Linked DNA regions of Rattus norvegicus. The main gene of each other region encodes a partner of the protein of the gene in region 3 in a complex. Links are inferred from orthologs where the notes say so. Each region holds a gene or a part of one and is shown on either strand. Other genes may lie near its edges.

Region 1 (4,242 bases), on a different chromosome or scaffold from region 3:
TTAAATACAAATTCCCATCTCACTCCTCAGTTTCCATGTCTTTTCACTGCACACTGAACAGAACCCTCCCACCTCTTCCAGCTGTCCCTTCCTGTCACCCAACCGAGCTTCAGCCATGCTGGCTCTCTTAGTCTTGAGCATTGACTCAGGACCCTCCATCACTCACAGTCCTTATTCTTACCTCTCGTGCACTTGCCTGTAAACTCTTAAAGACAAATTTGTCTGACTTCCCCCACAGGAAACACCCAGCACATAGCAAAAAAAAAAAAAAAAAAAAAGATGGAAGAATGCAACAGTAGCAACTGATTTGTTCTCTAAGGAGAACCATGATAGAAAAATAACGCTGAGGCTGGAGAGATGGCTCAGTGGTTTAAGGAATCTCTTACTCTCGAAGAGGATCTATGGTCAATGCCAGTTGCCACATGGTGGCTCACAACTATCTGTAACTTCAACTCCAAGGCTTCAGATGCCCTTTTCTGACCTCTTTGTGCACCAGCCATGAACATGGCATACATATATAAATGCAGACAAAACACTTTTACGCATAAAATAAATCCAAAATAAAAATCAGACTATAGTCAGTTTGCCACTTAATGGTAACTAAGCTCTTGCATCCAGGACTTTGGACCGGGAGGGTGGATGCGCCTAATAGGAAGAGGATGGAAAGATGGAATGGAATTTGTTTGGGCGGGAACCGTTAGTAGCTGAGATGTTAGACATGTATACATCGGTTTGCAAGATTTCCATTTTACTGAGAATCCTTGCCAGGGGCTAAAACCGCGTGTTGCTTACATGCCTAGCACTTGGAACAGGGAAAATAACAAAAAATGTACTCAAAGCTCAGGACTTAATGGTTTAACGGTTACTGGACCATCCCGGGCTTTGGAGTGAGAATTTTCAGTTCAAGTCGAGAACCTACATCTCTTAGGTAGAATTTCACACAAGTTTCTTCCACTAGTACATGACATTCCAAGTGAAGGACTTAACCACTTCCTCAGACAGCTCTCGTTCAAGTGTTATTGAGCTAGAAATTAAGTAATAGGCACAATCAGCCTCTCTAGTCCCCAAGTTCTCGAGCTGCCAAATAGTTGAAATCTATGCCGAACTGAGGTCCCATCCTCATATCACGACAAAGGCACCAACCAAAAATGGCGACTTGGAAGCCCTCCGAGGCCGTTGGTTACCTAGATATGAGTCGGAAAGAAACATCTAGGACAGGGATTCACGCCGAGGTAGGAGATGCAGTTGGTCCACCAGTCAGCCACACAACACACAGCAGAAAACACAACTGACCAGATAGGCGCTAGGCTCACAGCTCAACCACGTGCTGTAGTAAGGTCTGCGCCTGCGCTAGTCAGGCGCGCGCCCGGCGGCCGGAAGAGCCGCGCGTTTCCGGGTTGGAGGCGGGGAGCGGTGCCGGAAGTGCTTGGGGAGGGCCGCGCAGTCGGACCGGCTGCTGAGACGAAAGCTTCACTGGGGCAGTCTCCGCATATCATGGGGAGATAGACGCTGCTGCCTGTGAGTCTTGGGCCCTGGCAGTTGAGGATGAAGAGCGGGAGGAGGGTGTCAGGACCCAGACCCACAGCGGGTCAGTGCTGGAAGAACTAGGTTGTGGAAGAGACGGGGCTGTGAGGAGCCAGGCTCTTGGGACGGGACTTGAGGGGTTCGGGCTCGCAGAAGCAGCGGCTGTTGGGGACTCGGGCTCTGAATGAGACTTAGGAAACGGGGACGGATGTGAGTTCTGCAGCATCTGAGGGAAATCCTTCTGAGAGGGACACAGATGGTGAAGACCCTGTACTTTATAGGAAGCGAGGATAGGAACGAAACGGGGCGTGAAGACACCGGCTCCAGAGAGGTAAAAGTGGAGCCCGAGTCTCGGGCTCCTAAGAGACAGAAGCAGAACGGTAAAGTCCCAGCTCCTAAGGATTCAGAAACAGGGCAGCAAAGACTTAGGGACTGGAGATAGAAAAGCAGGCAGAGAAGACTTGAGTTTGAAAGGGAACAGAAATGGGCAGTGAGGACTGGGTCTTCTTTGGGGACAAGATCTGGGCTTTCAGACTCAAGAGTTTCTGAAGGGACAGGGATGTGAGGACCCGAGCTCCTAAAAGTGGAAGATCTAAGGGGTCCTTGAAGGCTGGGAGATCAACCTTCCAGGGAAAGAGGTTGAAAAGATTTAGCGATCTGTTCTCTGTACCCAGAGGGTTACGATATGTTCGGGGGAAGACTTCTTGGCGCTGCCTATTTGGCTTTTTGCATTTAGGCTGCTTCTTGTGTCAGATACTTAATCTAGAAAACCCACACAAAACATCTTCGTTTTTCTTCATTATTGTGAATCAGATATAAAGTTGAAAGCGGTTGAACTCAAATATATATATATATGTTACTTAAGCCCTATTCCATTCAGTCCCTGTGGAGCACAGATCTCTGCATCACAAGCAAACTGTCATAGATGGAAGGGCAGCAAAAGATCATTTTGAATTCTTTTACATTTCAGGAAAAGAGGGGCCAAAGAAAGATTAGCATCACTATGAGCCAATTCGGTTATACCGACCTCTACCATGTACAGCAAATAAGAGATGCTTGGTTGAAATTACTCGAATAAAATGCTTTTAGAATCTCTACCCTCAAACTCAGAAGGGATTTTTTTAATGGATTTTAATATTTTAGTACCTATTATGGCATTGTGTTACAATGTGAGGAAACAAACTTAAGTGAAACCCATTTTACTTACTTTTCAAAAATGTGTTGAGAAATTCACAAGTAAATGTGACCTAGAATATTTTCTAGGGATTGCTTTTAGAAGAGTGACTTGGACCTTGTCGTTTCTCTTCATAAAGATCCACGACTGAAACCTCCTCAGATGAATCGGGCAAAACTTAATCACTTTGGGTTTTTTTTTTGTTTGTTTGTTCTGTTCTCTTTCCTTCCCTCCCTCCTTTCTCTCTCTCTCTCTCTCTCTCTCTCTCTCTCTCTCTCTCTCTTTCTTTCTTTCTTTCTTCCTTTTTTAAGACAGTTTTTCTGTGTAGCCCTGGCTATCCTGGAACTCACTCTGTAGGCCAGTCCGGTTTCAAACCCCAAGAAATCCTCCTGTCTCTGCCTTGGGAGTGTTAGGATCAAAGGTGTGTGCCACCATGAACAACTTCAACACTTTCAAGCATTCCATTACTTTGTTATCACAATTCCACAGTTAAGTATGGTTAGTCATGTTGTACTATGTCTTATGTCCATAGAGGATAAGGAGTTTGTCTTAAACAGCATAGTATGGAGTAGCTTATCCCCAGATGTGCCTCTAAAACTGTCTTGAACTTTCCTAAGTGGACTCCCCTCCATGTGTAATTTGCATGTGAGCAAAATATACATAATATTTATAAAGCCTGCCACTGAATGAAAGCACACCCCTCCTCCCCCAACTATTTAGCTCCTCCTAGCCTGGAAATTGCTATGTAGACCAGGCTGGCCTCAAACTCTGAGAGCCACCTGCCTCTGCCTTCAGAGCCCTGGGATCCAAAGCTGCACCATCATACCCAGCTTCTTCCTTAACTCCTTTTAAAGTCAAGGACTGTGACGTTTAGGATACCTCCATAGTATTTGAGATCTTAAGTTCCTGTGTTTTCACAGAAGCATAGATATTCCAGGTAGAAAGAGAAATATTTGTAGACTCCTACAATAGAACAGGTTATATTTAATTTTTTTGAAAATTAGGGCGACATCATTAATTGCTAGTGTGTACTAGATGTGGACGCTTGGGCTAACATAGCCAAGCATCATAGTGCTTGACTGTGATCCCATTACATTGGAGGTAGAGGCTGGAAAATTAGGAGTTCGATGTCAACATGAGACTTTATCTCAAAGGAAAAAAAAAAAAAAGAAGCAGATCAGGTGAGGTGGTTCTTCTGCTGAGGTGATTGTCACAAAGAGGGATGATTTCAGTTCAGTCTCTGAGTCCTGAGTGATGGAAGGAGAGACCCAACCCCAAAATTATCCTCTGAAAAAGTTTTTTTTTTTTTTTTTTTTTTTGTTATTGTCGTTTTTAACATCCTTGAAGCTATTATTTTTCCGGTAGCTTAGCCGCTACTATTAGTTTTTAAGACTTTTACTAAGGGTGATGAGACTTGTACAGCCGGCACACGAGAAAGACCATCCACAAAGCAAAGGGAGGATTTGTAAAGCTAAAGCCTCTGGTGCCATTTTTTTTTTCTTTTTTCTTTTTTTCGGAGCTGGGGACCGAACCCAGGGCTTTGC
Region 2 (4,044 bases), on a different chromosome or scaffold from region 3:
TTACTGAGTTTTCGTCTCAGTGGAAGATGCCCACCTTGTGGTTATTTTGATTCAGATTTTGTCCACTGGGTTTATTTACAAGAGTGTATCGTTATTACCTTAAGGAAAGAGGGTGGGACCTGAGACAGGGTCTCACTCTGCAGGTCAGGCTGGCTTGGGATTCCAGACTGCCCACCTCTGCAACCTAAGTGCTAGAATTACAGGGGTGAACCACAAGACCTGCCTTATTATTTCCAGGTTGGTACGAGTTTAGCTGATTAATGCATCTGGGCCCTAGGACAGTCGTTAGCTGTTTTATCAGTTTTTCTATACTCAGCTTTCAGTCAAATGTCCAATGATGATTGGGGAAAGACAAAAACCTGGGTCATAGCAGGGCCAGACTCTCTGTCTGCCTCACAATATATATGGCTATCACTGGGCTCTCTTGGATCTCTTGCAATTCTAGAAGGGTTTGTGAGGCAGACACCCTCTATTCCCTACACTATTGAGGTAAAGGACATGTAGGAACTTTGAATCATGTTGGTCTATGACAGAGCTTGAATTGATAACCTGTTCCTCAAGACAACAGCTAATTTCTCTTTTTATTACAAATTCCTTAGGGCAAATGAGAGATTCAATCAGACAGGGAAAACTGACTGAAAAATAAAAAAGTGGTTTGGTGTGAGGGCTTTGTCCCTTTCAACCAACCTGGTTTCCTTGTGTGTTGTTTGTTTAAAGGTGTTTGTTTGAAACGTGGTCTGACTCCAGATCCTCCTCCGACCTTCTTACTGCAGGAATACAACAGGAGATCTGAGGCAACTCCCATTTTAATCTGGTCTGTTTGAGAGCTAGCTCTGGTGCAGCTCATCCTGAGACTCTTCTTGCTTTGGCTTTTTGTTTGACTTGTTTGAACTTTCTCTCCTCCCACCACTCCCCCACCCTACCTCCGGCTGTTATGGAGCTCCTAGTGTAGACCGGGCTTCCCCTAAACTCACAGAGATCCTCCAGCCTCTGCCTCCCGAGATTAATGATGCGTGCTATCACGCCAGGCTTTGAAATTTTGCCTATTAATAAGCAGCCGAGAGCCACGCAGCAAAGAAAACCAGGAAGTACACAGCCCGCGTCGTCATGCACCCAACACTTTTTGGCCTTCCTCCCGACCCGTAGCTGCGCGGAGTGCGCGCGAGTGACTCGCACATAAAATCCCGGCTCGGGGCGTCTAAGAGCCAGTGCTGCTTCCTGCTTTGGACGGAGCTGTTGGCGGAGCCTTGAAGATGGCGTCGACCAGCCGGTGAGTGCAACGGCCTCCGAGCGAGTGGAGATGGGGATCGCGGGGCCGAGGCTCCTCCAGAAGGCCGCCACGGGCGTCCCTTGTCCGCCTGAGTCATCGCCCCCCGGGCTTGTCCCTGCGGATCGGCACGGCCCCGACCTCCGTCTCGGTCGGACCCTCCAACCGTCTTTGTGTCATGTTAATGTTTTCTGTGTATTTCCTCCCTTATGGCCCATCCGGTCTGAGGGTCCGAAACCGCCTTTCCAAAAGCTGGGGAAGCGACGTTCCAGGACCCTGTCGATCTGACAGCCACAAAGTTGAGAAACGTCAACATTGGTTGTCTGGTGGAAAGGGTCGCCAGCTCAGTGGCTCCCCCGAGAAGTGGAAATGAAAGCACATACGGAGACTTGATTCATTCTCCTAAAAGATCCCACCCCCGTCCCCACCCCGAAAAGTATCATTGCATACTCCGAAGGAGATGCTGTCTGCAGAAAATTAATTACATATGCTGGAAGTCATTTTAAATGTATTTTTAAAACGCAGTGCACTTAATATCTACAGGAAATGCGTGTTGTGTCCTCAGAGACGGCCTTTAATCTTGTGACCTGCAAAATGCTTTGCAGACCCTAATTATATATCTCTTGTAACCACTATGAGGTACATATTAGTATATTGGCATATGTGTAAACTGAGTCATGCTAGCATGTTGACCTTTCCAGTGCCTAGTATACCTATTTGTGATTATCATTCCACTGGTCTCCAGTTAACACAGAATGTACAGAAAGTATCAAATTAAGTTCTTCACTACTGGCACTTTTTTTCTGAAGTGGTTACTCTGTGTGGAGTTGCTAAACGTCACCACAGGAAGCCATTATTCACCAAAACCTCGGCCCATTCTGGGAACCTCCAAGTCTGCGGTTTATTATAAAAAGTGGGAGGTGGGCATAGGAAGCCGCTTCAACTTCATGTGTGGAAGCCATGGACACTCTTGTTTACTGATTATGGTTTAATTAGATTAATTATGATTTAATCATTCCATCTGGGTGTGGTTTTATCAGGTAAGGCTTCCTTGTAGGGACATGGGAACCTTCAGCTTCCCCAAATACTGTTGAAATTTCCCATGGCTGACGTGGAATCTGAGTGTGTTCCTATGTAGGCATTGCTTGTCTTTCCGTATGGAAAAGGAACTCCTATATTCTTGAAACACAAGTGGTAGTGTTTGAATAGTATACATTGTAAAATCACTGGTTACAATTTTTAAACTTTTCTTCCCTTAAAAATTTCCTTGAAATTTATTTTTTTCTGGACAGCCAGTTTTTGTTTTTGAGTTACTGGTCTAGAATCTTCCTGTCCACCTTGAAAGCTAGGGGATTGCAGATATGCCTGGACCTCATCCAGCTTTTCAATCTGTCATTATTGTTCCTATCATGTTTTTCCACCAGTGTGAGTAGAGAGAAGTCACTGGTAGATTTTTGCCTGAGAGTTTGTCCTTGAGGGTGGTATGTCGTTGGCACTGGCTGGTGTTCATTTTCCAGGAGGACATGTCCCGAGGGACGCCTACTACTTATTCTGACTTCAGTAACTTTGACCACCATCTCTAAAATGAAAATAGTGCCTGTCTTTCAGGATGTGTAGATTGAGCTTCAAAATGTATTTGGGGCTGGGGAGGGGCTCCATGGTTAAGAACAGTGGCTGCTTTTCCAGAGGACTTGGGTTTAATTTCCAGCACCCACATAGCAAGCTCATGAACTCTAACTCCAATTCCAGGGTATCTCTTCTCCTGTCTCTGTAGGCACCAAGTCATATTCATGCTTCACAGACAAACATGCAGACAAAAAGCCATACTAAAATAATGTTCAAGGCAGTATCATTTAAACACACTGCAGAGTTCTTGATGTTTCCCTCTCTTAAATGCTAGGGATTGAAACCAGGACTTGTATATACTAGGCGAGCATTCTCCCACTAAGCTACATCCCCAGCCTCTTTGCCTACTTTGGTTTTTGAGACTGTAGAGTAAGCTGCCCTGCAACTCTTATGTACAGTTAGTTATCGGTGAGCGCCATTCCCAGTCCTTGACCTGCTATTTACTTATCTACTTATCTATTTACCTTTTGAGGCAGCCTCACTCTAGTCTATGTATAGTATAATATATAGTATTTTATATATATATATATATATGTATATATATTATATAGTATTAGGGTGGCCTCGAGTTGATAGAATACCTTAGTTCTGTTCCATCAGAGCTGGCTGGATAGCCTTGTTGGTAGTGCCAGACTATGTTAATCCTTACCATACTGTTAGGTTAACTTCCTGCTTTGTTTATTGCTCTTATTCTGCTAACATTTCCCTTATTTTAGCAGCTTTTTGATTTTTATGTATACTTTCCATAATTTACTTTTTCTCTAACAAATTTACAGAACAACTGCAAGTATAAAGCAGTGTCTGCCCTCTCCCATTTTCCCAATTAGAAAACTCCAGGATATGTTTTAATTAAGCAAATAAGTCTGGTGGTTTACATGTGAATTCTTTTAAAAATCAGCTTCCCATATGACTTGGTTGTTGGTAGTTAGGGAGCTGGAGAGATAGATACCTGTGGGGAAGGGCACTTGTTGCTTTTGCAGAAGACCTGCACACACACAGTAACTGTAATTCCAGGGCATCCCTGGGAACTAACCATTAAGACAGTACAGCACACACATGCAGGGAAAACACACATAAAACAAAAAAATCCTTAAGAATAAGTGAATAAAAAACAATGTAGTTGCTAAAACATTCTGAATCATACTAGCTAG
Region 3 (3,992 bases):
AAATGCCTCAGAGAAAAATTCTATGTATGAAATTTTAAAATACCAGACCTGGTAACAGGCTTTCATAGTGGCAAATACTAATGAAATAACATGAACAAACATGCCTATTAAAAAAGCATAGCAATTAAAATGGCAACAGTTAAGAATATAATCTTAATCTAAGCAAGTGGAATAGTTCATCTGATAACTGTTTAACTGCTTCCAGTATTTTATAGATAACTTTAGTGTTTAATAAAAAGATATAGACAGATATCCTTCAATGAAAAGTAGGATAGTTTAAGAAGGCTCTGGACCGAGTGTTCACAAACCTCCAGATGGTGTAGGTAGGCCTGAACCATAATCTATAATGCAAAGATGAATTTCTCCATTTCCTTATCTGGTGTATTCCTTTTCTAAAAAGGCAAAACAACAGCATGTATCTTGATCTATACCACTCAGCCATTAAACTCCATGAGCTCACCTCAACTTTCAGTATTCATTGAAGAACAAGATAAGCAAAGTGAAAATTAGTAACTTTTATTGTGCAAAAAACAACTTTTATGAAAAAACTTGCATTTCTGTAACATGGAAACTTGCTGAGAAGGTAAAAAAATATATTTCTTAAAAAAAAAACAAAAAAAAAAAAAAAAAACACTCCATTGCCTGTAGGCTAGCTAGCTTCTTACTGATCTTAGCACCGAAGAATAGGACTAGAAACTTAGGAAACAAATTGTAATAAAGTCCTATGGTGAAGTGATTAAAAGCTCAGTGTTGTCACTTCACTAACCTTACACTACAACAAATCTGCCTATGTAATCCTATTTTCTTAAGAGTGAAAACAATCAACACAATAACTCCTAGCATTACAGGAAATAAGAATATTTCAAAGAAAAAAGAAGAATTTTTCAAGACCTCACTCTGAAAATAAATTCTTCTTAAGCTGACTAGTCTAAGGACTAAAGTCAACCTTTTCACTTCTCCAGAAGTGATTCCAGCTCTTCTTGCAAAGAGCTAAGCTGCTCCTTTTCCCGGTCTTCCTTCTGTTTGAGCTCATCCAGAACAGCTTGAAACCTGTTCTTCAGAGCCAGGTTTTCTACCTTCATGATGAGATCCTCCTGGCGCTTTGCTCTGTCTTGGGTTTCTTGAAGCTTGCCTTTCATATTATCAATCTGCTTCTGAATCCCCATAACCAACTGATTGGTTCCTTCATTTTCTTGGTGTTGTTCATCTGACTCATTTAGCTTGTCCTGTAGCTGTCTCTCCAGATCCTCTTCAGTGTCAATGATGTTTACATCTTCTTCATCTTCGCTGCTGCTGCTGAGGTCATTGAATATCTCTCGAAGCTCATCATGCTCTAGTGAGTCATGGCCCTGCCTGTGGCCAGACATTCCAGGAGAGGAGATATCAAGGCCTTGATTTTCTGCCTCCTTTGTTTCATCTTCAGCAATTATCTCCCAACGAGTACTGACAGCTTCTGCATCTGTACTCAGCAGCCGCTTTACTTCTTTTTCCACATCTGGAGATTCAATGTACTTCTTCTTTGCTGTCTTCCGGAACCTTCTCTTTCTGACATTTTTTAGAGGTAGAGTAATTCCATGGTTCCAAACAAATTTTTTCTCTTTGTCCTTATCTTTTTTCTTGTTTGCTTTGGGATCAGCAGTAGCAGCTGGCTCCTCCACAGGAGGGTATAGATCACCATCTACTGTGGCTACAAGCATCTGAGAGATATCAGCTGTCTTGTAAAAGGTTTTTTTATCAATGGTTTTCAAGCTCTCCGTAACACACGGCAAATCTACCAATTTTGCAGCCAGGGGCACTCTATCCACTCTGACAATCCCATGACGCCCATCAGGGTGTAACTCAATGCTCAGTCTATCTTTCAGGTTGACGTGCCCAGACTGCACTGCCCTCCTCACAGTAGCGGCATATTCTGGGGGCAACCGTAAGATAAACTGGCTCTCTAGCTCATGAGGTGCATCATCTTTGCTCTTACTCATCTTCACTTCCTTGTGAATTACTTCTCCAATAAACACCTGCTGCACTAACAAGTTCCAGCTCCTACAACAGTTAAAAAAAGGACAAGGTTAAGAATAATCTTAAACTCTTAGTTACTGAGTTCTAAGGAAAACAGCAACTAAGTGGATCATCACCTACTGCCTATTTTGTCTTAATTTATAATTAAGTCCCAATACTAATCTCTAAACATGCATCCCACTTTGGCATTGTCCCTGTTAAACTCACACCTCTACTAGATGCAATACCAAATTAGGGCCTCTAGACGCCGCTGCAGCATCACGTGAACAGCCAAAGAAAACAGCAGCGCCTGAGGGGATTTTAGGCACAGTCCGTCCGTCTGGCAGGCAATCCCAATCCACGGATTCTCTCCAGTAAGAGATTTAAATAAAAGTCGTGAGCTCTTCGGCTCGGGTACTTACAGTTCACCAGCAACTATGAACTCAGCTTTTCTCGGCCTGAGTAAAGCAGCGATGAGCGGTGCGTCTACCTTCCAGTTTGTCCGCGCTTTCAGCCGCCCGGCAAGGCGACCTGAGCGCTAACAACGAAACGGCTCAGGACCCGCAGCGCGAAACCTCGCCACACTGCCGCTCAAACATCCGAACTCCGGAGAGGACCTTGCCAAGCCTCCTCCCACGCAGAAAAGAAGGAAAGAAAGTGCTACGGCAGTGAGCGGAAGCAGACGCGGCGCTACGTCAAAGACCGGAAGTAGACGCGGAGGGGCTGGCTGCCGCTCTTCCGGAAGTAGTAACGTCGCGGCGCGCGCAGGCGCATTCTCGTAATTACGTCGTCTCGTGACTACTTCTCGTGAGAACTTACCTTGTATAGGATTAAAACTAGTGTTTCCGGAAAAACCTTGGCTTGGAATTCAAAGATGAAGATTCCAAAAAGTAAAACATAAGCACACCCCCTAAGACAGCACTTTTATGAAGTCGTGGGTTAAGACAGTTTCTAGAGTGATTGCCAGAGATAAAGGGCGTCCCTGCAGAAAGCATCTTTTCTTCCCAGGGCATACCCGGTCCCTCCGCCAAAAGCTTTGGAAGCATCACAAAGTGAAAGTAAAGTGGCCAAAACAGTGGAATGATACAGTTTTGCTGTCTACCACATAACGCTGTGTATAATCATGTTAATTAGCTTTGAGAGGAACTAAGCCTTTAGCTTCGTTAGTATTTTTGGCTCCAGAGGACGAGGTGTGATATGTATGATACGCTATTTTGGTAATATGTTTGATAGATATAACTGTATACAAATGTTTTTATGATGACACAGGTTCATTAAGAACAGAATTGCCTTGCCTGAAACACAAACGTTCTGATTTTGTTGTTGGGTATCCACCAAAGAAGGCTGCTTGGACATAGTTTTAAGCCAATATAAAGTATTAGCTAGCCAGCGACTACATTGGGTGTTCTGGATCCCAGTGTGGCCCTAAGGCTTTCTCAGGGTGAGCTTTTAAGCACAAACAAATGTTCTACATTGGCATGTTTCTGTTACAAAAACCACTTTCCAGAGACAGAACTACAGAAGCCAAAAAACAAGGTTAGTACATTAGAGACTTTCTCAAAACTATGAAATTTGATAATTAGGTCTGTTTTTGTTTTGCCCATTGGTACTGTCTGTACTGTTAGGGTTCTCTAGAGTCACAGAAATTCTGGAATGTCTGTATACATTAAGGGATTTTAATGTAATGATTTACAGTCTGTAGCCCAACTAACCCAACAATGGGCAGCTGTGAATGGAAAGTTCAAGAATCTAGTTTCTCAGTCCCACGAGGTTAGTTCTTTCACCCAGTCTTCTGTATAAACTGGAATCTTGAAGAAGTGGGTACCAACAGATGTGCTGGCAAGTAAGAAGTAAGTGCAAGCAATTGAAGAAGTGTGAGTCTTCCTTCTTCCAATGTCCTTATATAGGCCTCCTGCAGAAAGTATAGCGCAAATTAAAGGTGTGCAGCACCACTCCTGGATCCAGAACTTGGCTTATCCCAGCCTGGCCTGGAATTCAGA

The links.
Region 1: Taf7 (region 3) and Taf12 share a complex: the UniProt entries of both Homo sapiens proteins name them as parts of the TFIID basal transcription factor complex. The link is inferred for Rattus norvegicus from reciprocal best matches to the Homo sapiens genes TAF7 and TAF12.
Region 2: Taf7 (region 3) and Gtf2b share a complex: the UniProt entries of both Homo sapiens proteins name them as parts of the TFIID-containing RNA polymerase II pre-initiation complex. The link is inferred for Rattus norvegicus from reciprocal best matches to the Homo sapiens genes TAF7 and GTF2B.

The regions. Positions count from the first base shown.
Region 1 is NC_086023.1:149,755,452-149,759,693, forward strand, and holds the start of Taf12 (transcription initiation factor TFIID subunit 12), read left to right. Parts: upstream 1-1,442; 5' UTR 1,443-1,518; intron 1,519-1,563; exon of another isoform or gene 1,564-1,588; intron 1,589-4,242. UniProt on the Homo sapiens protein: The TFIID basal transcription factor complex plays a major role in the initiation of RNA polymerase II (Pol II)-dependent transcription.
Region 2 is NC_086020.1:234,426,490-234,430,533, forward strand, and holds the start of Gtf2b (transcription initiation factor IIB), read left to right. Parts: upstream 1-1,244; 5' UTR 1,245-1,253; coding exon 1,254-1,270; intron 1,271-4,044. UniProt on the Homo sapiens protein: General transcription factor that plays a role in transcription initiation by RNA polymerase II (Pol II). Involved in the pre-initiation complex (PIC) formation and Pol II recruitment at promoter DNA.
Region 3 is NC_086036.1:29,710,676-29,714,667, forward strand, and holds Taf7 (transcription initiation factor TFIID subunit 7), read right to left. Parts: upstream 2,650-3,992; 5' UTR 2,415-2,649; intron 2,038-2,414; 5' UTR 1,977-2,037; coding exon 951-1,976; 3' UTR 501-950; downstream 1-500. UniProt on the Homo sapiens protein: The TFIID basal transcription factor complex plays a major role in the initiation of RNA polymerase II (Pol II)-dependent transcription.